Coturnix japonica: one gene and its partners. The protein of the gene in region 4 purifies or fractionates together with the protein of the main gene of each other region. This does not show direct contact. Links are inferred from orthologs where the notes say so. Each region holds a gene or a part of one and is shown on either strand. Other genes may lie near its edges.

Region 1 (5,655 bases), on a different chromosome or scaffold from region 4:
GCAGGGGTTGGATGCTTTCTGCCATCACTCACCACCCAGTTTCCAACTCATCCAGCTGCCTCTGGCTGCCTGCTCCGGTGCTTTCCAAAGGGTTTCACCCAGGAGGTGGGATGCGGGATGAGGATGCTGGCTGCATTCCACTGCTTCCCTCTGGCTTTTTGCAGCCAGTCCAAGAGCAGCGCAGGGTCCCGCAGAGGAGGATGCTGAAGATGCCGTGCACGTGGCTGCATCATGCTCTTGTCACCCCTCTGCTTATTTTAGGTGAACTGTCCCATCCGAGAGGGCAGCTTTTGCCCCACAGAACTGATGGGGGGCAGCTTGGAAGCAGGCAGTGGTGGCACGAGTCCCAGTCCCACGTCACACACTCCTGACCAAAGGGCAGCTGTGGGGCTGGGAGCGGCTGCGGGAGGAGACGCTGTGTTGTCCCCATGCTGCCATCACCCCATCACCACCCCATCCCTGCGCTGCCACCACCCCGTCCCCTTGTTGTGAATGGGACAGGGGGCACCAGGTGGGGGGGTGATGCTGAGTGCTGTGCTCTTTTCTTGCAGGCTGTGCTGCTGCCCTTCCTGCTGCTGCCATGGAGCATGGTGCAGGGGCTGAACCTCCAGCACGGCCCTGCTCTACCCGGTGCCCCCTGGCATGAAGGTGGCTGGGACAATGAGGGCAGTAGCGGGGTCATGCTGGGGCTCCCTGGGGCAAGACGTGGACACGGCTCTAGGGATGGCTCTCAGTTGGATGGAACCACGCAGCTGCTGCTGGAGGACTCAGTGAGAGAAGCATGGCCCTGGCTGCCAAACCCTGACACCAACAGAGCTGCTGCGGTAAAGAGCAGCAAGGCAAGAAAGGTGTCCCTGTCCCTTGATGTCCCCACACACATCCTGAGGATCCTGCTGGACTTGGCCCGGGAGAAGGAGCTGCAAGCCAGGGCAGCTGCCAACGCTGAGCTGATGGCACGAATTGGGTGAAGGAAGTGACCACAACACAGCCATGGCCAAAGGACTCTGTGGGGCCAAGGGGGGATACGTAGGGCTGCTGGCAGCTGCTCCCTGCACCCAGCTGTGCAGGATTTAGCCCCGGACAAACTGATGCTTGGGGTGTGCTGTATAAACGGTGCACACACAGCAGCTGCTGTTCTAACAACCCAATTTGCACTGTGGGAGCAAAGCACCGGGCCGAGACAGCCCCGCTGACACCGTGCCTGGCACAGCGGGGTCAGTGTGTGCACGTCCTTGTCCTCAGTGCACCTCTGCTGATGTACCCCCATCCACTCCTTCCGACCCCCGTTTTTCCATGTACCCTCTGTCCAGATGCTCTGTACACCATAAAGCCCACCCAGACCTATGGGCATTGTACCTGTGCAGTGTGCTCTGCCACTCAGCGCCGCCCCGGGGTTGCCACGCACCCCAAGATAAGCACCGAGCGGGCAGCGTGCGGCCGCCCCGTGCAAAGGGCAGGGCCGGGGCTGGGGCTGCTGCTGGGGCTGCCGGAGCCGGGCTGGATGCAGCCATGCTCTTCGAGGAGCTGCTGGTGCAGGGTGAGCATGCACAGCGTTGGAGGGGGGAGGTGTGGGGGTGCCCCTCTTTGGGGGTGGTATTTCGGGGTGGGGGATGGAGCAGGGGTTGGGGGATGGAGCAGGGGGTGCAGAGCAGCTGCTGCCGTTCTGGGGTGAGTGTGGGGTGAAGGTGCCAGCCCCGCCATGGTGATGCTGGGGGACAGCAGGGTGACAACCAGATATCGATGGGGGTTTGGTCCCATTCCCATCACTGTTCAGTCCCTGTCGCTGCCGGCTGCCACGTTGTCCCCTGCTGATCCCGGCTGTGACCCCCGCAGCCCCTCTCAGCACTCCCAGGTGCCACCAGCCCCTCCGCACCCCCCGGTCCCGCTGTCTCCCCCCGGTCCTTCAGTCCCGTGGTCCCGGTGTCTCCATCCCGGTGACCCCAGCCCGCTGACACCCCCATCCCCACGCTGCCCCCTCAGACCCCGCTGTACCCCCATCCCGCTGTACCCCCATCCCGCTGTACCCCCATCCCGCTGTACCCCCATCCCTCTGCCCACACCCCTCACTCTTCACCCATCGCCCACCCCGGAGCCCCCCGAGCCCCGCCCCCTTCCTTCCCTCCACCAATCAGACCTCGCCCTTCTCCCCCCCACCTGTCAATCACACCCATATCCATGGACACCGCTCATCGCCCCGCCCCCCTTCCCGGAGCTCCGCCCCCTCCCGCTACCGGCAGTGACGTCACGGAGCGTCAACCCGCGCCTGCGCAGTGCGGCGGCGGCAGTGACAGGCTGGCAGGAAGGGGCGGGGGTCGGCAGCGGGACGGGTTCGGTTCGGCTCAGTTCGGTTCGGCTCAGTTCGGCTCGGTTCGGCTCGGTTCGGCTCGGCTTAACTCACCGAGGGGCCTCTCGCAGCCGCCATGCTGAAGAAATTCGACAAGAAGGACGAGGAGTCGGGTGAGGGGCAGCGGGAGGCCGGGGGTGGGCCTGTGTGAGGTGTGAGGTGCAGACATGGTGCTGTCGTTGATGGGCAGCTGAGGGCTCGTAGGATGCTGCTGGGAAGGCTTTGTGTCAACCATTTGGCTTAAAAGCATTAGTAACTACAACTAAAGTAACAGAGGGGAGGTTTAGAGCAGGTATCGGGGATTGCTTTCAATGAGACACATTGACACAGCTGCCTGGAGAGCTCAGGGTCAGGCTGGATGGGACCCTGGGCAGCCTCAGCTGGTGCCTCACTCAGTAGTTGCCAACCCAACCTGGGTCATGGGGTTGGAACTAAATGATCTCTGATGTCCCTTCCAACCCAAGCCATACCGTGATGTTGGGGCTGTAGATGTGCTGTGCTTCTTTAACCACTTTCTGCGAGCATTTTTCAGATGTTTAGACTGGAAACACTTTGATTTTTTTTTTTTCCCCGTGTTTTCTTCTCTTCCCAGTGTCACCAAAGCATCCGCGCTTTGCTCAGCCCCCTGCTGGATTTGCAAACAGCCTGTGTAAGAGGAGGGCAATGAACCTGAAATGAGTTAGGATGCACATGGCTTTGCCTTGTATTGCAGAGGCTCTGGGCAGCAGCATGCAGTGCTTCTGGGGCAGGGCAGGTTGTGCTGAACCAATCCTAGATCTCAGGCTTGTTAAGTGTTGGAGAAGCACTGGAAAAGGCTGTTTGTCCCAGAGCCAAGGCTGAACGTCGGTACTAATTACAGCCTGCTTATCAATAACCGACAGCTTTTGAGATGCTGTGGCTCAGAGATGCTTAAAAGAAGGCAAGCTAATAGAGAGAATGCAGAATAATGATGCTTTTCTCTCAGATTATTTCATCCTTAATTAGTGAGTTGTTCATTGTTTAATATAATTTATTCTATTAAGAGGAACAATGAATGTTATTCTGTGTCCAGACTCTCTCATTTGCTGTCTTGTTCTCTTAATTAGTGATAGAGCCAAAGAATATTTACTGCTGGATTCCTGATTGGTTTATAATGAAGGGATAAAGCACTCCTGACTCTCCAGCCTGGCAAACACTCTCTTTGTGTCTATGACTCTAAGCTTTTGTTCCTCGAACTGTCTTATGATGCTCTAACTGTCAGCAACATCTCAGCCCTGGGGCTGGAAGCGTTACCTCGGGGCTCCCCACTTTGCAATTGATCAGACTCATGGCAAGTTACTTCTTGGTGGGTGATAAATCAAAGGACGTCCTGCCTGCTCTGTCTTCCCTCACTGCTGGGGAATACTGCTTCAAAAGAGGAGCACTGATTGTGTGGTGTTCACGAAAAAGCTACGCAATAAATGCTGGGCTTACCTTTAAACTGTAGGTGTGTTTTGATAGTTGCTTTCCCATAGCAGAATCCCTGGACTTTCTTTGTCTTTATTTTGCAGGTGGGGGTTCCAACCCATTCCAGCACCTGGAGAAGAGCGCAGTCTTGCAAGAGGTATATCCTTAGAAGCTGTCCTTTGTGCTGCCCCTTCTGCTTGGAGTGTCCCAAACTCCTGAGTAGATCAATGGGGAATTTTAGTGGGGAAGCAGGGCTTTGTTGTGGTCCTACTAGCAACTAAAGTATGGGACAATACTCCCACTAGTTCTTGTTTTATTGCTGGAATGAAGAAGGGAGAGGGCTGAAATGATCTCTGTAACAAAGTAGACTCTAAATGGTAAGCAGTAATATAGAATGTGACTGTCTGGGAAAGCTCACCCTAAAACAGGAAAGTTGGGAAATCAGCTTTGAACACCATAAACTTGTAGATTTCAAAGCCAGAGAGCAGGCTGCGTGTGGTTATTGAGTGGTCTCTGATTTTACTCTGAAATAAAAACCTTTTTGTTTGACATCAGACAAACTTCTCAGTCCCCAGCCCCTGTTATTTTGGTGTTATCTGTTTGTTTGCCATATGGTGGATGGTGTTGGTCCCTGTTAGCCCTGCAGAGCTGGCTGACAACTGTCAGAAGGGTTGTGTTTTAGCTAGCACACGATCCAAACTTGTGTGGGTGAAAGTGTGAGGTGGATTTAACCCTTCAACTTTCGTTGTGCTTGCATTTGCAATCTCAGGATGAGACTATAGAACTGTCTGTTTAAAATGTGGCCTTGTTTAGCTGGAACTGGGGGAAATCTGATCCAAAGTCGTTATGTGGATTTTGCTATACCTCACTGACAATTTGTTGTTTATAATATCAGGCCAGACAGGACAATGTTTATGGGGGGTGTTGATGTCAACATCTTTGTCTGTGATTTGTTTCCAGGCACGTGTGTTTAATGAGACTCCCATAAACCCACGAAAATGTGCTCACATCCTCACCAAGATTCTGTACCTCATAAACCAGGTAAGGGAGAAAAAGTAAGCTGATACGTTCTTTTGATTGTTAGTCTTCTCTAACTAAACTTTATCTTCTGAATAGCTTTGTTGGCTATATCCAATAAAAACATTTTAATTAGAACAGTTTCTGTGCTACTAAGCTTCTACTTGCCTTTTTAGCGTCTAAAAACATTCTGTGGGGTAGAGAGGGTAGGAGCAGCAAATATGGAGAGGTTGGTGTCTGTGATTTCTTATGACTTGGAAGTTGTAACCCTACAGCTCTTTGATGCCAGGAATGGTTGTCAGTCCAGGCCCTTGGGTCTCTGAAGCTGTGCGCAATAAGGACCAGCTTTGTAAAGTTATTTACCTGTCTCGTGGGGTTTCCCTGCTTTGGGATCTCCCTGCATCATTATATGCAACAGCTGTAGCTGGCTCTGACTAGCTGTGGTGCTTTTAGGGAGTATGGCATAAGTTTTTCTTACACAAGCCATGGAGACCCAACCTGCTCTGCACCCATAAAGAAGCTGTCTTGTCACAAGTCATTTATTTGTAAACCTGATAAATCATGCTGTCACCTACACTGACAAGTAAGCAACATTCAGCCATGGCTGGGGGCTTTGTCAGGCAGGATTTTACTCTGAGTATGCTGAAGAAGATCTGCTTCCAACCACGCTATGCCTGTTCTCCTTATGTGTGAGACTGAGCCTTGCACCTGCTGCAGGACCAGATCTGCTTGTAGTAACTGGGGTTTCCTTCCTTCTTTCCAAACTTCTTCTAGGGGGAGCACCTTGGTGTCATGGAAGCTACCGAATCCTTCTTTGCCATGACAAAGCTGTTTCAGTCCAATGATGTAAGTCTGTTAATTGTTTTTTG
Region 2 (5,558 bases), on a different chromosome or scaffold from region 4:
GCCCAGGTGTTGTGACAGGACAACAAAGTTGATCAAGGTCTCAGGATGGCCACTATCCTGGAAAGAAAAACAATCACCTGTCTTTGTGACTTATCCCTAACACAATAAGTGTAACACCTGGCACTGCTGTGCAAGAACAACTGACGAGCCCGTAGCTCACTTTAATAGAACAGGTAGAGTAGAAGGCAGATGTTAATAGCAACCACTCTTAGGGACATTTTCATAAAGCATAATGAAATTCCTTGCTGTTATAGCCTCTATGCGTAAGAGATAGTTAGATTCAAGCCAATTTGCCAGGCAAAACCATTAAGTACCTTGTCCAGTGCCTCTTGAAGTACCCCCTCTGCATCATCCCACTTGCCCTGAGCCATATAGCAGGCTGCCTGCCCATTAAGCAGGAGGAGGGTGGAGGAGCATTTGTCTGCCATCTCTTGGAAGATGTAATAGGCGTCCTGTAACTTCTCACCACCCTGCAAAAGGACACAAGCATGCAGTTTCACTGTGTATTGCTAAGAAGGCTGTATTCTGTTTTTGTGGCTAAAGAAAGGGGCCAAGAAGTTAATTTGAAGGGTTATAAAATGAGCTATTGTCATTCACAGAGTCTCCTCTGAGAGATCACTGTAAGACTACAGATGAAAGGAATGCAAAAATATTAAATATTAAGAAGCACTTAAATGATCAAAAGATCAAGAAACATTTCAAAAGAACCACTTCAGAACACCGACTTAATGTTTGGAAGAACATTACAACGTAATAAAAGACTATGAAATGAGATCTTACAATTAAACCCAGGTACAGACACCTGGCTTTTCAAAACATTCCTGCTTTAGAAAGGTTTCAGATGCAGCAGCTTGCACTGATTAGAGGATGAATGTTTCCCTAGAGGAAAATAAGATCTTAAGGAAAACTCAGCCCCAGGTTACTGTTACTGTTGTAACAGGTTACTGCACGCATACCTTGGAGTTTACTGAATCTTAGGAGACTGGTTTCAAACACCTGACATCTGGACTTAACAGACAACACGTGTTTTTGGCTGATCTGAAACTCTTCATTACAATACAATTTCTTGCCAACCAGTTGCAGGCACCAAAAGAACAAGTTTAATGAGATGGTGGTAACTTGGTAAAAGGCCATCACAAACTAAGCACAGAGTCTTGTCTGAATGCTGTTTCTCAGATATCGTAGGCCAGGGATACTCACTACAGCCAGGTTCACCCAGGCAGTAGCCAGCTGAGTGAGGGTCGCATCTTCATCTTGCTCCTGCATCTTCTTCAGTTCCTTGCTGTGGATGCAAAAGTGGGAGTTGTGTAAAAGGAAAACAAGGCCTGTCTTAGTCCTCTAAGATGCAGACAGAAGGTTGAAGTTTCCTTTCTCAAGCTCTTTCACCTCAACAGAAAAACAACCATAGCAAACTAGTAAGGAGGCATAATTACCTCCTAATGTTTCACTGAGACAAGCTGTGGAAGAGCTCCTTGTTTTACTTCTGTAAGGAAAGGAAGAAATCCAGGCCTAGAGATTCAAACCCCTTTATGCTCACTATTCAGAAATAAAGTGACACAGACAAGCTTACTCACCGAGCCAGATCAAGCCTGTCAAGCTTCAGAAGAATCTGGATCATCATCGCCGTGCTGCAATGAATAAAAGCAAATCAATTGTAATAATGACGAGTTTTATCACTCCTTGTGCTTAGCACAGATACACTACTCATGCCAGGGCTATCTATACAGGCAGCCAACAAAGCCAGCAGAGCTCACAGCAGGACTCAAAGCAGGGAAGCTCCCAGCTGCCCTCCTGGTGTACAGCCATAGTACTCACTTCAGCAATTCTGAATCCACACAGATCAATAAATCAGATTCTTAAGTTTCACAAGGGAGCAATAGATTTTATACTGCAGACTGAGCACCACATCCATCACTACTTGAAAGGGAAACCTCTCAAGAGTTTCTCAATGGTTTCAAGGCTTTTCAGAGACAAGCCAGATCCTGGGCATTTCTATTACACCTCTCCCTACATGAGCGAGACTTTGCTAACACACACCGCAGAGAGGCCAGATCGAGTTATACTTACCATTCCAAACTTTCCCCTTGATGTAGAGTACGTAGAGCTGCATCAGGATTTTTGTCATGGAAATAGATTGAAGCAGCCATCAGCAAGAAAGTGGTATTGGTCACATCGACACTTTTTGCCATTTTTTTGTCCAAATCAGCAACAATTGCATCCCTGCAACAGTGTGGGTGAGGGAATAGAAGTGTTTAAAATGCCTCGCTATCAGAAAACCTACTTTTTTGTGGCAAAACCAAAGCCAGACATTATAAAAACCATATTTCTATGAACTCTTCACTTAGAAACTCGTTCTTTGTGAAACAAACTCATTTTCAGACTTACCTTTGACTCTCATTTGAAAGATATTCTGCAAACATCCGCACAGCCTGGAGCTCAGGACTGGCATTGGCTTTAATTTCATCCAGCACAACCCCATACTTTCTCTGTTAAAGGTAAAGCAGAAAACCTAGTGACTTGCAGAATCAAACTCTATAATCCAGAGATGGGTTATAAAGCAGGGACGTTTATTCCAGCACTGGGTGCAAGGGGGATAGCTCCACCAAACTTGCACCCCGACTTGTAAAATCATGACACAGATATAGGTACATCTAATACATAGTCAATGATTTCTCAGAATTCTAATACATAGTCAATAGTTCAGAATTCTGATCTATATTCAATAGTTCTTTAGCACACAGACTCCCTCTTGTTCTTATCAGGGGGATGCAACTCCTCTTCTGGTATTTACATTACCTGTTCTCCTCCTTGCCTGATGTCGTCCATGAGGTCTCACTCCTTACCTGCATCCTCCCTGCTCTCCCAGGCCCCTTGTTTCCTTTACTTGTTACCTTTAAGTTTCCTTTATTTCTATAAACTACCTTTAAGTTTCCTTTACTTCTTTCTATAAGCCACCTTTAAGTTTCCTTTTCTTACTTCTACAAACCACCTTTAAGTCCCCTTTATTCATTTCTACAAACCACCTTTAAGTTTCCTTTCCTTGTTTCTATAAACCACCTTTAAGTTTCCTTTCCTTGTTTCCATAAACTCTTTAAGTTTCCTTTGCTTCTTTCTACAAACTACCTTTAACTACCACCTTTTAACCTCCCTTTATTCTTAATTCCAGCACCTGTTTCCTGCTTCTCTAGTATTTATTACTCAGTTGTGTTTATTACTCGGTTGTGTCGCATTGAGCTCAGGTTCATACCCTGCCCTACCTGAGCCCTACAGTCACATCGTGCTGCTGTAAATCCGACCCACCTGTGCAATGTAGGACCTGAACAAGAACACATCCCTCTCTGTTTCCTTCTCGGGGTTCGATGGCTGGAAGGAGAAGAAGAAACAACAGCTCCATTAAGGAACCTGGGCACTAAACCCAGGAACCTCCTAAACCCAACATGGGTTTAACCCCGTTCGATACCCCCACCTTGATCCGCTGTGCCTCGTTGATGGCGGCCTGGTAGGCCCCGATGTAGAAGCTGTTCTTCACGTCGAACAGCTCGTCCCCCTCCCCGCTCTGACCAGCTGGACCCGACCCCGGCCCGGCCGCCATTTTGCCGCTCCGGACACGTCTCTCCGGAAGTAGCTGAACCCCGAGGGCTGCCGGGAGCCGCCATGTCCATGAAGATGTCAGCTCCAGCCAATAGCCACGCGAGAAACATGTTACGTCACTACGGCGACGGAAGCGGGAGGCAGCCAATGAGAACGCGAAGGAGGCCGGAAGTCAGTGGTGTTAAGGAAGGAGCAAGATGGCGGCGTTCCGGGAGCTGGGTTTGGCCCCGTGGCTGGTGGAGCAGGCGCGGCAGATGGGGCTGAGCCGCCCGACGGCCGTGCAGGCCGCCTGTATCCCGCCCATACTGCAGGGTGAGCCTGGTCTCTTGTTCTCCCTTCCTTGCAGTTCTCTATTATCCGCCATCGCTCACGTTCTTTACTTTGGGGGGGGTCTCCCGTGTAGGCCGCGACTGCCTCGGCTGCGCTAAGACGGGTAGCGGGAAGACAGCGGCCTTCGTGCTGCCGGTGCTGCAGGTGTTGTCCGAGGATCCCTACGGCATCTTCTGCCTCGTTCTGACGCCCACCAGGTACGGAGGAACCCATAGGGGGGGTCCCCTGATGGTGTATCCCCGCTTAGCGCTGCCCTACCCCGCAGGGAGCTGGCCTACCAGATCGCTGAGCAGTTCCGTGTGCTGGGGAAACCGCTGGGATTGAAGGATTGCGTGGTGGTGGGCGGCCTGGGTGAGTGAGACAACACAGAGTGGGATGTGTCCGGTTCTGGGCTCCTCAGTACAACAAAAGAAAGGGATCTCTGGGAAAGAGTCCAGCAGAGGGATACAAAGATGGTGAAGGAGCATCTCCCCTGTGAGGAGAGACTTAGGGAACTGGGTCTGTTTAGCCTTGAGAAAAGAAGGCTGAGAGGGGACTTGATCCAGGTTTATAAATACCTGAGGTGTGGGAGCCATAGTGGTGAGGCTGGTCTCTTTTCAGTAGTGTGTGGGGACAGGACTAGGGTTAATGGGATGAAAGTACAGCATAGGAAGTTGTGCATGAATGTGCGGAAGAACTTCTTTACAGTGAGGGTGACGGAGCACTGGAACAGGCTGCACGGGGAGGTGGTGGAGTCTCCTTCTCTGGAGATAGACCTGCCTGGATGCCTTCCTGTGTGATATGGTGTAGGGAACCTGCTTTGGCAGGGGGGTTGGACTCGATGATCTCTAGAGGTCCCTTCCAACCCCTACAATTCTGTGATTCTGTGGCTGGGGGGGGAGCAGAATGACTCTTCATGTCTCCATGACCTTCCTCTGTAAGGCTGGTGTTTTCCAGCCACGCACATTCCATGTTTACGAGGTTCAATCTGTAACACAGCAGCGTGTTTCTCGCTGCAGACATGGTGGTTCAAGCCCTGGAGCTCTCCCGCAAACCCCACGTTGTCATTGCGACGCCTGGCAGGTTGGCGGATCATCTTCGCAGTTCCAACACTTTCAGCCTTAAAAAGCTCAAATTCTTGGTAGGTTTTCCGCTCTTTTCAAATACTTTTCCCTCTGCTTTTTAAGGCTTTTGGTTTTGTAAGGACACTTGCAGATCTCATTTATTTGTGGCTAGATATTGGATGAAGCTGACCGGCTGTTGGAGCAGGGCTGTGCTGACTTCACTGCAGACCTGGAGGTGATTCTGGAGGCTGTTCCCGCACGCAGGCAGACGCTGTTGTTCAGTGCCACGCTGACAGATACACTGAATGAGCTGAAGAGCCTGGCCATGAACAAACCTTTCTTCTGGGAGGCTGCATCTGAGTATGTATCTCTGCTCTGCCACACGCAGCATCCTGCTTTTTCTCTATTATCTCATCTCCTTACTGTCTCTAACATCCCTTATGTTCCACTTTCTCTTGCTAAAGCTGTGGATTTTAGTGATTTACTGTCCCTTCCCAACAGGGTGCGGACAGTAGATGAACTGGACCAGCGTTACTTGCTTGTACCCGAAGCAGTCAAGGATGCATACCTTGTCCATCTAATCCAGACCTTCCA
Region 3 (5,706 bases), on a different chromosome or scaffold from region 4:
CACCAACACACACAAGTATTTGCCATTTTGCCTATACAACAGCATGGCACACCAGTCATGTTACCTGTAATTGCACTCCCCTCTTGTCTTCATTTTCTACATGCAGGCGAATTCGTGCAAATTTTTCATCAGAGATGTGCAGCATGATCATGCCATGCAGCTCCATATTCTGTAAGCCTCCATCACGGCCACAAGTCAAGGAAATTTTCTCCTCTATTTTCATATGCACGCTGGATAAGCAAGAGAAGAAACTAATGGTCAACAAGGACAGTCAACGCACAGTGAACACATGCTCCAAAGAGCATGATGGTCCCCAACAAAACGATACATACAGCAGCACACAGATCACAAAGCAGTGAGAAGACAGCTTTCAGAAGAAGCATAACACATAATACCTACCTCTCCATATTAATGGGCGGTGCAAGAACTTTGGCTGCTTCTGTAGAGCGTTTGCCTACAGAAGTCATGATATTTTCTCCCTCCGATTTCAGCTTGTCCACAAAGTTGTCCACCTCCTTCCCTTTGGCGCCCAGTTTCAAAGCTTTACTAGGACCTGATGGTCTAAACAAAACACACAAACACCTCCAAGTCAGTTCAGCACAGCAGTTTCATCCATCCTCAGTCTGATCTTCAAGTGTTGTAACTTCAACAATATTAAGCTCACTTCAGTAGCAGTACACACAGGAGGGGCCTGCCCTTCCCTATCTTCCTGTAGAGACAGAGTCACACACAGAATCCATAATTACAGTACAAAATGCTCCTTGCATGACCAGGGGGAGAGAAAGCTCTTGATTCCCAAAACACAGCACCAGCCTGACAAACACCAACAGACCACACCAGTGCCAGCCATACCTGACCACTCCCTTATGTACCCACACACACACACCAGGTACTTCAGCACCTGTTTATCCATGAAGACTCAGGAGGAAGCCAAACAAAACCCTTCAGACAGCACTAACTGCTGCCAACTGCACACACCTACCTGGACGGTGCTGGTGCCACTTTGGGCTTCTCTGTTTCAATGATGGTCTCTGTGATCATTGCTGCTGTTGTGCCCCCAGACACAGCTGAGCTGCCAAAGCCACCGAAGCCAGGCGCCTTCTTGCCCAGCCTCTCTGCATCCCTCCTGGCCTGCTGCAACTCCTTCGCTTTACGACGCATCTCAGCTTTTGCTTCACGTTCCTGAGTCTGAAATAAAAGATGAAAGCTGCTAAAGCTTTGCAATCTCAGTTTTATTCTGTACAGCTGCTCACGGTGTCTTCTTACAAACACAAAATGCCAAAGAATGGGTATTCAGTGTACAGGAAAGCTAAGTATCTTTAAAAGCCTTGCCAAAGTGGAGTAACACCTTTGCATAAAGAAGCAGTGCTCCCAAAGCACCTTGCACCACAATTAGTTCCACTCACCTCTCGGACAGCTCGGAACACCTTTTCTTCATGCGACTCCATCTCTGTGAAGGTCCGAATTTGTGCCAAGTTTACATTCTCACGGTAGCCCAGGGCAACAATTTCATCAAAGGCAAAAATCAGGTCAAAGCAGTGCTCAGAGATCTCATTCTCCTCTAGAGCTCGGCAATATTCAGGGATCTAGGTAGGGAAAAGCATTGCAAACAGATGTAGATGTGACAATCAGCACCCACTGAGCTGCTGTTTAAGATGAAGTTTTGTGACTATTTTTTTCCTTCAACTAAAACACTTATGGAGTCTTTCAGCACAGTTTTAACTTTGTAATTCACTACAAAACACACCCTGTGATGCTGCTCAGTTTCTTGAAGATCCTTCAGCTGCACAGATATAGATTATGAAGTTAATTAAAAAAACAACTGCAAAAACCCATGACTTAGAAATCCATTTAGAGCACTGCTATGCTTCTCAATCACAATGTGAAGCCAGGACTGAAGGAATGCAGTTGCTACCTAAAGAACATAGAAATATCTGACACTACATTCGCAGCATCTCTTTGGCCTCACCAGTTAAATGGCAAGCATGGATTTCTCACATGTAGTTCAAAATTACCACAGGAGCAGCAAAGGTTACTTCCAGGTCAGGAACAAGCCATAGATAACCAAGTTATGAGGTGGAGGCAGAGTGCTTCAGCACCAGCTTGCCACTGTTTGGGGCTACAGGTGTGAACACAGGACCCGACGTGTAGATCCTTACCACTCTAGAGAAGAGTCGGAGTGTTTCCAGGTCTTCCAGGATGTTGCTGTTTTTCGTGGTGATCAGCACCATGTAGAGCTTCTCCATCGGCTGATACACGTACCTCACGCTCTCTGTTTCCACAAAGGTGTGTTGCTTCCCAGTGTTCATCAGTTTGGGGAAAGCTGCCAGCAGCCCCTCGATGCGGGTTCGGGTCATCTCCACAAACTGCCGGGAGACGATGGCCTTCCCTGCCTTGGTGCAGACAGCTGCCGCCAACAGCACCTATAGGGACACAGACACAGCATTGAAAGCTCTCAGTCCTCCATTCAGGCTAATGCAACACCTTTTCCTATAGGGCTATGACAAAACCCCAGCAATGCTTTAGGCAAAAACTGACTTATCTGTTAGTTCAGCCCCAGCAGAAAAGTCACAATAAAGACCAGAACACTTTGAAATGTGACATCTCTTCCCAGTGCCACACTTAAACTAAGCCGGGTTAATAAAATATTGACCATTATATTAATTACAGCACGTGGATGGTTCTCCTGGGCATTTCACTGATGTTATCACACCAACAATAGAAAGGCATTAAGGTAACTGCCAATTCACCCTTTCTCATTCTCTCCGCCTCGACTTCGTCCTGAAATACTTCTCTCACAGATTAGTTTCTTAATTAACATAGTGAAGATAAAGCAGTTTCTAAAGGTAAGATCCTTTCACTCCCCAGCCAGTTTTAATCACAGTATCCTAACAATGAGAAGCACCAGAAGTTCTTCAGTGTCTGTACATTTCAAGCATGAACCCCAGCACGGCCAGGTGAGCAGCCAGCAACTGCTGTACATTGAGTGGCCATAGGAACCCTGTAGTCAGGGATATCTTGAAGAAAGCAACAGGCATAAGCCTCCATTTCCCAACTGCTCTTTGAAAGGGCTGTGAGTGCAGCACAGCACAGCACAGCACCGAATGGCACAGCTGATCTCAGCAGCACCTCGGCCTCTGTCACCAAGCAGCAGGTCCCGTTCGGGGACGGAAAGCTCACAGCTCCACGTCACCCACAGCCAACGGGACACAAGTGACCTCCACCCGAGCTGGCAGCTGAGGCAGCAAGAGACGAGGCCTGGTTACAGATGTCAGCCTTAACGCTGCAAGCAGCCTCCACGTTACACATCACGCAGCGCACAGCGGGCAGTGCCCCCCAACCGCCCTGCGGCAGCGCCCGGTAAGCGGAGCTGGAGGCTCCCACAGGCCGCGCCACGTCCGGGCCCGGAGCGCAGCGTCACCCGGCGGGGCAGCACGGCCTGGAGCGGCCCGGGTCCATCGCGGAGCTGCGGAGCGATCCGACAGTGCTCGGGGACGAGGCCAGAGAACGGCAGCGGAGCCGCCGAGCGATGAGCGGCCTGGCCAGGCCCCGCGAGCTCTCCGACCCCGGTCCGGCCGGCAGCGGCCCCACGAGCGGCGGCTGAGCTCTGGGCACAGCCTTACCATGGCGGCGGCTCATGGCCGGGCACACCCTTACCATGGCGGCGGCGCTCGGCTCGGCGCTCGCTCCCTCGCGGCTCCGCGTCCCCTCGGGCAGCCCCACAAGATGGCGGCGCCGAGCCACGTCCCCAGCCGGAAGCGGCGCCGCGCACGACGCGAGGGGCGGGGCGGGGCGGGAGGACCCGGAGCGCGGCCCTGGGGGCGGCCCGCGTCAGTACCGGCCCCGGCCGGCAGGGGGCGACACCCACACGCGGCTGCGGGGCCGGGCCGCGGGCGCCGCTCTAGCCGGGAGAGGGAGAGCGAGACGGGGTCGCCATGGCGACGGAAGGCGGCGTCATGGCGGAGCGGCGGCCGGCCGAGGGGAGCGGGGACGGGCCGGGCCGCGCCATCGCCTCCCCGCGACCCTCCGCACAGCCTCGGCCCGTGGAGAACCAGCCGTACGACGAGAGCCTGGAGCTGCCGGACACCGAGGAGGCGGCGGGGAGCGAGAACCGGCCGCAGGGATCCCGCCGGCCGGGGCCGATCTGGTCGGGAGGAGGCGGCACGGGAGCGCGGCCCAGCGGGGCGGGAGAGCGCGGCAACGACCGGGAGGGAGGAGGAGGCAGCAGCAGCAGCAAGGTACGGGGGGAGAGGGGCGGTACGGCACGGGACGGTACGGCATGGTATGGTACGGTATGGTACGGTACGGTACGGTATGGCACGGTATGGTACGGTACGGTACGGTATGGTACGGTATGGTACGGTATGGTGCGGTATGGTACGGTATGGTACGGTATGGTACGGTATGGTGCGGTATGGTACGGTATGGTACGGTATGGCATGGTATGGTACAATACGGTATGATACGGAACGGTACTGCACGGTACGGTACGGTATGGCTCGGTACAGTACGGTACGATACGGTACGGTACGGTACAGTATGGCACGGTACGGTACAGCACGGTATGGTATGATACGGTACGATACAGTACAGTACGGTACGGCACGGCACGGTACGGTACAGTAAGTAAGGCCGCGTCCCTCCTGCCCTGAAGGAAACAGTGGCCAGGCTGGGACCCTCCACCGCCAGCGAGGACGACGATGATGACGATGATGATGATGATGATGACGATGATGAGGATTCCTCCGAGAGCGACTCTGAGGACTCGGAGGAGCGCGGGGCTTCACTGGAGGGGTGAGCAGCGGAGGGAGCCGGGAACCCGTGGCTTAAAAGGGTTGAACAGAGTTGTGCACGGACAGGAAGCCTCTTACAGTGAGAGTGTCCTGCTTCTGCTTTGGGGCACAGCTGGATCCATGTTCGTGCCTTTGTTCTTGTACAAAAACTGATAGGAAGTAATGTCTGCAAGAATTGCTTTTCCTCTCTTCAGTGACTACAACCTCGCAAACTATGACTACCTGCCGGTATCTCCTGAAATTAAAGAACTCTTTGAATACATAAGGAGGTGAGTTGAAGGAGCTTTCGCCTGCCCTGGGTTCTCCTTTGTCTCAAGGTCTTTGTCTCTGGCAGGAAATGTCAATTGCCCACTATGCAATCCTGTTGTTTTTCTCTCTCAAGATACACTCCGAAAACAATACAGATTGAGCACAAACTGCAGCCTTTTATTCCAGACTTCATTCCTGCTGTTGGAGACATTGATGCCTTCCTAAAGGTACAGTGTTTTCAGATATCCCCATACCTGCTGACACACAGGGTGAAACAGAAGGTGGTTTAGATATGAGCCTGGCAGACTGCAGCCACACTGACCTGGTGGTAGCGAGGTGCCCTTGCCCTGTGCTGCAGATACTGCTGTAGACACCTAGGAGATCACAAATAGCAACACTATGACCTGGCTGGTCACTTTGGTAACATCCCACATAGCACATATGTAATTTGGTGCAAGGGCTGCCTGTTTCTTTGTCCAACACCTTATGCATTTCAGGTACCGCTGTGTTAACAACTCGTATTTTCTGCTCTTTCAAAGCATCACGCTTACAAATTTCTTCTGAATTGAGTCTGAATTTCTAACAACAGGGAGAAGCTGTACAGAATAGTTCCAGCATCCCCTGCTACTCCCATAGAGGATTCCTTCTGTGTTTTACCTGCAGG
Region 4 (5,104 bases):
TTCTTCAAGTAAGTTTCTTTCTTCATTTGGCTAAAAAGTAAAAAGTGCAGACATGTTGATTGACTGTTTATGTCACTTCATCGACTTGCTTACAGCTCAACTTGCACAACTTGGAACTCCCACTTCCTACTCACAGTGACAAGGGGGTATTCCCTGGCTGCCCGCAGGTCAGCAAGACTTTGTTTAACGTATTCTTCAGCAACAAAAGCTTCCTTTAACCCAGGGAAAAGATTCTCATATTCTGTAGGATCAGCGAGGGATTCAGCAGCTTTCTGGTTCACTTTAGAGAGACTCTCCCGCCACAGTTTAACAACCCTGGAGATAAAAATCAGATTCATTGTATGCAGGTAGTTTTGACAATACTACTAGGATCTGCATATACATTGATGTTACCTTGAAACTTGGCTTGGCAAATAGGTCCGTGCAAGAAATGCAGCTTCTGGGAGACGTCCAGTTTTAATCAGGAGTTCCAAACATGAGTCAAGCCTGACAGATTTTAAAATAGAATTTTTATCAGTAATTTTTCAAGCCAGACTTTAGCATTATAGCTGTTTAGTCTATGATGTCAGTAAATTAAAAGTGCCCGTTTTAAAGAGTAGGCATCATAAAGCAGTTTTTTCTGAAAGGGTACATGCTACTACTGTCTTTCTTCTTGAAATTAAGTTACCTGCAGTTCACTGTTTGGAAATGTGACATTCTTTGTGTTTAGAAAGCCCAATGAGAACCATCTGAATTTCTCACTACTTACTTTCCCTGCAGGAAGTAACTCATAAATGCGACGTTGTTCTTGCCATCTTTCTCTGCTCCTTCAGCTAATTTATTCACCATGTTGGCGTTTCCTGAGGCTGTAGCCAGTAGCAGCAGCCCTCCATAGTCTTGTGCATGGTGCAGGCATTCCTGGGCTAGGCCAAACTGGCATTTACTAATGGCAAGTTCAGCAAGTTGCTTCCATTTCTGTTCTGACTAAAAGCACAAGGAGAGGGAGGAAAAAGAAAAAAAACCAAAGCTATATTTTTGAATACCATTAAAGATTTTTAAAGCATTCAATATGAATTCTAAGTTCACCTGCTAAGTTACCGTATCCCATCAGCATGCTTGTCTTCCCATTAAGATACGATAACGATTGCAGTTTGTTCTGTGCATACCACTGTCACACTGTCATTACCCAGCAACACCTGCCTACTTTCCCCTCTCCCTGTTTAATGACAACACATTAACTTACTCCCTACTGCTCCATTATTTTGCAAAATGAACAGTGAGACCAATTCTCTGAATAATAGCTATGGGCCAAATCACTGCCTGCCAGTCTTCCTAGAACATCAGAAATGATGCAAGTTTTTCAAGGCTGGAATAAAGGCCCAGAGGCTTCAGTTCTGCCAGTTCTCCTCTCTGTTCAACACTGAAGATTAAGGCTTTGTTCCTGGTTGGAATGTATTACTCTCCAGGAGGAGTTCCTATATCTTTCTGAGCAGACAACATGCTTCTGTTCTCATCCCACAGCAAAGATTCCTTTGAACGACAGGCAGAGAAACTTCAGTAAGGAAGTTGGAGGCATATTTACAGTGTTCACAGAGCTGTGCTGCACTGTCACACTGCCTCGTCTTATGAGGCCTCTACGATTTATACTCAGAATTATCATGAATCACCAGAAGTTGTATGTTTACCTCTGCTTCTACTGCAAGCTGATAAGCAATTTTTAGTTCTCCCAGCTGAAGAGCAAGTTCAAAACGATGCTCTGGATCTGTCGATACTGCAAGAGCTTGCTGTTTGAAGCCCTGAAATAAATGAATAATCAAAAGTAAAGCTCTGATCGGTCACACCAAACAGCATCCCAGATGTTTTAACAAAACCCTCTAAAGAAAAGATTACAGCATTCCAAATAAATACAGATGATTAACATGAATCTATATATACATTAAGTTAGTGGCTTTTTTAGTTGCTTAGTTTTTTTGTTTTTTTTTTTTTACTTAGCAAATTCAATTAGAAATAATCAGCTGGTGACTTTTTGGATGTTTAAGAAAGGTTTCTCTTGCCTGTTTTTCAAGAAAATGCGCAACTCTGGTTCTCTGTTCTTTTGGAATCGTGGGGAGAACTTTGTCAGCCATACCGAAGTCTCTTCTCATCACAGCAGTTTGATATTCAAGCACTGAGACCAGCAAAGAGTAGCTAACAATGTTTAGCTCTTTATCACCCAAATAAAGTCGGTTGTCCTTAGGAATATACCCCAAAAGATACATCGTCCTAAAACAAGACAAAGACTATTCAGCTTGGATATGTCGACTGTGAGGTGCTACATAAAAAAATCCAATGATAGCAGGAATATTTGCATCAACTTTTACTCTGTACCCATGTAACGTTATTTATTCTATGCAAGATTACATTAATTGCCTCAGAACATGAGCATTATAATCCAAAAGTAATTCATCAGGGCAAGCGGGAGATTTACTTTGTCCTAACTGAAAAAACAGTCAAGACTTCCTTACAATCTAATGCAGCAACGTACCTGTCTAAATGGGCAATCGTGACAATTTCTCCTCCAACGTAGTAGTTGAGTCTGTTCACAGAGCTTGTGTAAATAAAGCAGTCGCCAACCCACAAACCTGTTTTCACAATCTCCTGAATCTCACCAAGAACCTGCAAATTAAATTTAACCAAAAAGCTACTTTTAGATAGCAGTGAGACTACTGTGTTTTCAAATTAAATGCAACAGGCACAAGGGTGAGTTGCAAAAGAAGTTCCAGGTACAAACCAGAAGTTGTGCAAACTATGCCTCCAGTTCTACAAAAAGATGTTACAAATCTCTCTCAATAATTAACTAAGTTACAAATCCAGGAAGGAAGTACCAAATGTGTTAAATAAGATAATTAGAAGTTTCCTCATGAGATTTCTGCTGTTTTTCACGTGGTCTCAAACTTCTGTCAGATTTCAACATACAAAAAGTGCAGAAAGCATCCAGTTTCTGTGAACATGCTACCCAAATGCAAGATGGCTGGAAAATACAATTTAGTTGTGTTATGTTAAGGACTAATTTTGCTATTCTCTGGCAAGACTCGCTTCAGTGACCTCTGATCCTTGTCACATCCGTTTTTAAATACAGGTACCTCAAATGCATCTTCAATTCCATCTTCAGTGACTCCTTCATGCGTTTCCTGGGCAGATGCAACTTTTTCTGATAGATATTTCAGGATGAAGAATGACTCTTCTGTAGCAATGCAGACAAGCTCACCCGAGTCAGACCAGAAAATCTGTGTCATCAGAATCAATAATGGCAGTGGTTTAGAGAGCTCAGGTTAAGAGAGAAAGTATGTTTTAGTTTAATTTGTACAAACTCTCATAGCAGCCTTAGGAGCCAAGAAGCCAATGCATGCATAAGATTTTCTTCCTTTTCACTACCAGGCAGAAGTAAACTTAAGATATTGTTATTTTATGATTGGCAGCTTGGTTTCGTTATAGAAAAAATATTCAACAGTCTAGCATCTACAGTCTAGAGTAAACGCAGATGCACATAGATTCATATCTTCAGATTCCTTTCAAAACTTACATGTTTGGGCTGAATTTCAATTCTGCGGATCAGTTCCGTGTTTTCCCAATCATAGAATGCCAAACCATTTACAGATCTCACTCCCAACAGGAAGCCACCGTAGATGCCTGTAAGAAAATGAAAGTTGAAGAATTCTGCATCGTGCAGACTGTGCACATGCATCAATATGTGTATGCTAAAAGTAAATACTCACCTTCCGCTCCAAAATCAGGTTTGAACGATTTCTTCTCCTTGAAGTTTTTAAATATCTTCACAACGCTGTTGCTCTCTCTGATTGCGTACCTGGAGATTGCATTATAGAAATATTACTTGCCTGTTAAAGTAGCAAACTACTAAAATAACAAACTGCTACAAGAAAATCCTTGCATTTGTCTTCAAAAATCAGCAGAGCACAGCAAATAGAAAACCTTAAAACATCACCTTCTCTAAGTTCATTATTCAAACCTTTTTTCTTGTTTTTTGTCTTCAGCCCAACTCCATGTTTGTACAGACTGAAATGTAGCAGCAAAGTTAGTTAATACAAAGGAAAATCTGCAACACTTACTCTGACGAATCATGTGCCCACACGAACTCCTGTGCAGAACCAAAACTCTTGTTCCTCAAAGCCATAGCTGTGTAAATGATATATTCGCCATCACCACACACTACAACAAACCTAGAGCAAGAGAAAGATGCAGTCTGTCAGACATCCACGTTCAGTGCACTAGAACAAACACACAAATCATATGAAGATCATCACAAGCCTGTGTCATGGTATAATTACCACAAACATAAACAGAATTAAATAGAACAACTTTGTGTATTCCAGAACCCATCACATAATGGATTGTTTCTGCTTCGCTTTCCTAGCTACTTGCTATCCCTTCTTGCTTCTGCTCTCCGCTCTGCTTCATTTCTACTGTGTATCCCTTTACCTTTTCTTCCAAATTAGCTCATCTAATTAAAAAAAAACCAAACACCTGAGATGTAATAGAAGAACTTGGTTTGCTACTACTACATTTTACATTTTGTTTGCATGATTCTTTCCCTGTTTACAATGTGCAACTTGTCAGTTTAAAATGTGAGCTATTATGCAGATGGCTGAAGCCCTTCTACTATGATTTTCCCCTGCTTAGCTGTGAGACACCTGTTAGCCACAGGCTCTCACTACCAGGACACATGCAATACATTCTCCAGTATAAAGAAAACCAACCAAACAAAACGAAACTGATTTTTTTTCTACAATCAATTACCGTCCATTAGGGTTGTGCTGAATTGTTTGAGGATATATTTCACAGCTCCCCATATCCTTCACAGCCAGTGGCAATCTTTCTCCATCTTTAATTTCAGCATCTCCCATAGCTTTCAAGTTGGCCTGCTGGACTTCTGAATGTTTGGCCCAGATAATTTTTCCATTTGCATCCATGGACATGGCTGGTTCTTCACGGCCAAGCTAGGAAGCATAGCATAAGAACTTAGCAGACAGAGAAAACACAGTTTTGATTTTCTTTTCAGCTCCACGCATCCAGTGAAATATCCCGGCTTTGTCTAAAAATGACAATTCAAATTCTAAATGATCAGTAT

What was found.
Region 1: the proteins of COPB2 (region 4) and COPG1 purify together in Homo sapiens (co-immunoprecipitation; 8 studies listed by BioGRID and IntAct, counting the BioPlex papers as one, with this or other methods). This does not show direct contact. The link is inferred for Coturnix japonica from reciprocal best matches to the Homo sapiens genes COPB2 and COPG1.
Region 2: the proteins of COPB2 (region 4) and COPE purify together in Homo sapiens (affinity purification with mass spectrometry; 4 studies listed by BioGRID and IntAct, with this or other methods). This does not show direct contact. The link is inferred for Coturnix japonica from reciprocal best matches to the Homo sapiens genes COPB2 and COPE.
Region 3: the proteins of COPB2 (region 4) and ARCN1 fractionate together in Homo sapiens (co-fractionation; 5 studies listed by BioGRID and IntAct, with this or other methods). This does not show direct contact. The link is inferred for Coturnix japonica from reciprocal best matches to the Homo sapiens genes COPB2 and ARCN1.

Annotation. Positions count from the first base shown.
Region 1 is NC_029527.1:6,762,890-6,768,544, forward strand, and holds the start of COPG1 (coatomer subunit gamma-1), read left to right. Parts: upstream 1-2,310; 5' UTR 2,311-2,420; coding exon 2,421-2,457; intron 2,458-3,873; coding exon 3,874-3,926; intron 3,927-4,729; coding exon 4,730-4,810; intron 4,811-5,560; coding exon 5,561-5,632; intron 5,633-5,655. UniProt on the Homo sapiens protein: The coatomer is a cytosolic protein complex that binds to dilysine motifs and reversibly associates with Golgi non-clathrin-coated vesicles, which further mediate biosynthetic protein transport from the ER, via the Golgi up to the trans Golgi network.
Region 2 is NC_029543.1:2,773,664-2,779,221, reverse strand, and holds the start of COPE (coatomer subunit epsilon), read right to left. Parts: upstream 3,633-5,558; 5' UTR 3,593-3,632; coding exon 3,467-3,592; intron 3,364-3,466; coding exon 3,301-3,363; intron 2,487-3,300; coding exon 2,386-2,486; intron 2,221-2,385; coding exon 2,068-2,220; intron 1,629-2,067; coding exon 1,575-1,628; intron 1,283-1,574; coding exon 1,201-1,282; intron 471-1,200; coding exon 315-470; intron 58-314; coding exon 1-57. Other genes in the region: probable ATP-dependent RNA helicase DDX49, read left to right, coding at 3,789-3,903, 3,995-4,118, 4,187-4,272, 4,920-5,041, 5,137-5,324, 5,466-5,558. UniProt on the Homo sapiens protein: The coatomer is a cytosolic protein complex that binds to dilysine motifs and reversibly associates with Golgi non-clathrin-coated vesicles, which further mediate biosynthetic protein transport from the ER, via the Golgi up to the trans Golgi network.
Region 3 is NC_029539.1:4,766,820-4,772,525, forward strand, and holds the start of ARCN1 (coatomer subunit delta), read right to left. Parts: upstream 3,829-5,706; 5' UTR 3,661-3,828; coding exon 3,658-3,660; intron 3,642-3,657; exon of another isoform or gene 3,627-3,641; coding exon of another isoform or gene 3,624-3,626; intron 2,424-3,623; coding exon 2,160-2,423; intron 1,587-2,159; coding exon 1,407-1,586; intron 1,189-1,406; coding exon 983-1,188; intron 562-982; coding exon 400-561; intron 231-399; coding exon 65-230; intron 1-64. Other genes in the region: IFT46 (intraflagellar transport protein 46 homolog), read left to right, coding at 3,936-4,238, 4,655-4,794, 4,988-5,062, 5,176-5,269, 5,706-5,706. UniProt on the Homo sapiens protein: Component of the coatomer, a cytosolic protein complex that binds to dilysine motifs and reversibly associates with Golgi non-clathrin-coated vesicles, which further mediate biosynthetic protein transport from the ER, via the Golgi up to the trans Golgi network.
Region 4 is NC_029524.1:4,611,364-4,616,467, forward strand, and holds part of COPB2 (coatomer subunit beta'), read right to left. Parts: intron 4,974-5,104; coding exon 4,774-4,973; intron 4,197-4,773; coding exon 4,086-4,196; intron 3,824-4,085; coding exon 3,735-3,823; intron 3,649-3,734; coding exon 3,542-3,648; intron 3,246-3,541; coding exon 3,102-3,245; intron 2,635-3,101; coding exon 2,504-2,634; intron 2,242-2,503; coding exon 2,034-2,241; intron 1,776-2,033; coding exon 1,665-1,775; intron 964-1,664; coding exon 749-963; intron 487-748; coding exon 394-486; intron 316-393; coding exon 135-315; intron 31-134; coding exon 1-30. UniProt on the Homo sapiens protein: The coatomer is a cytosolic protein complex that binds to dilysine motifs and reversibly associates with Golgi non-clathrin-coated vesicles, which further mediate biosynthetic protein transport from the ER, via the Golgi up to the trans Golgi network.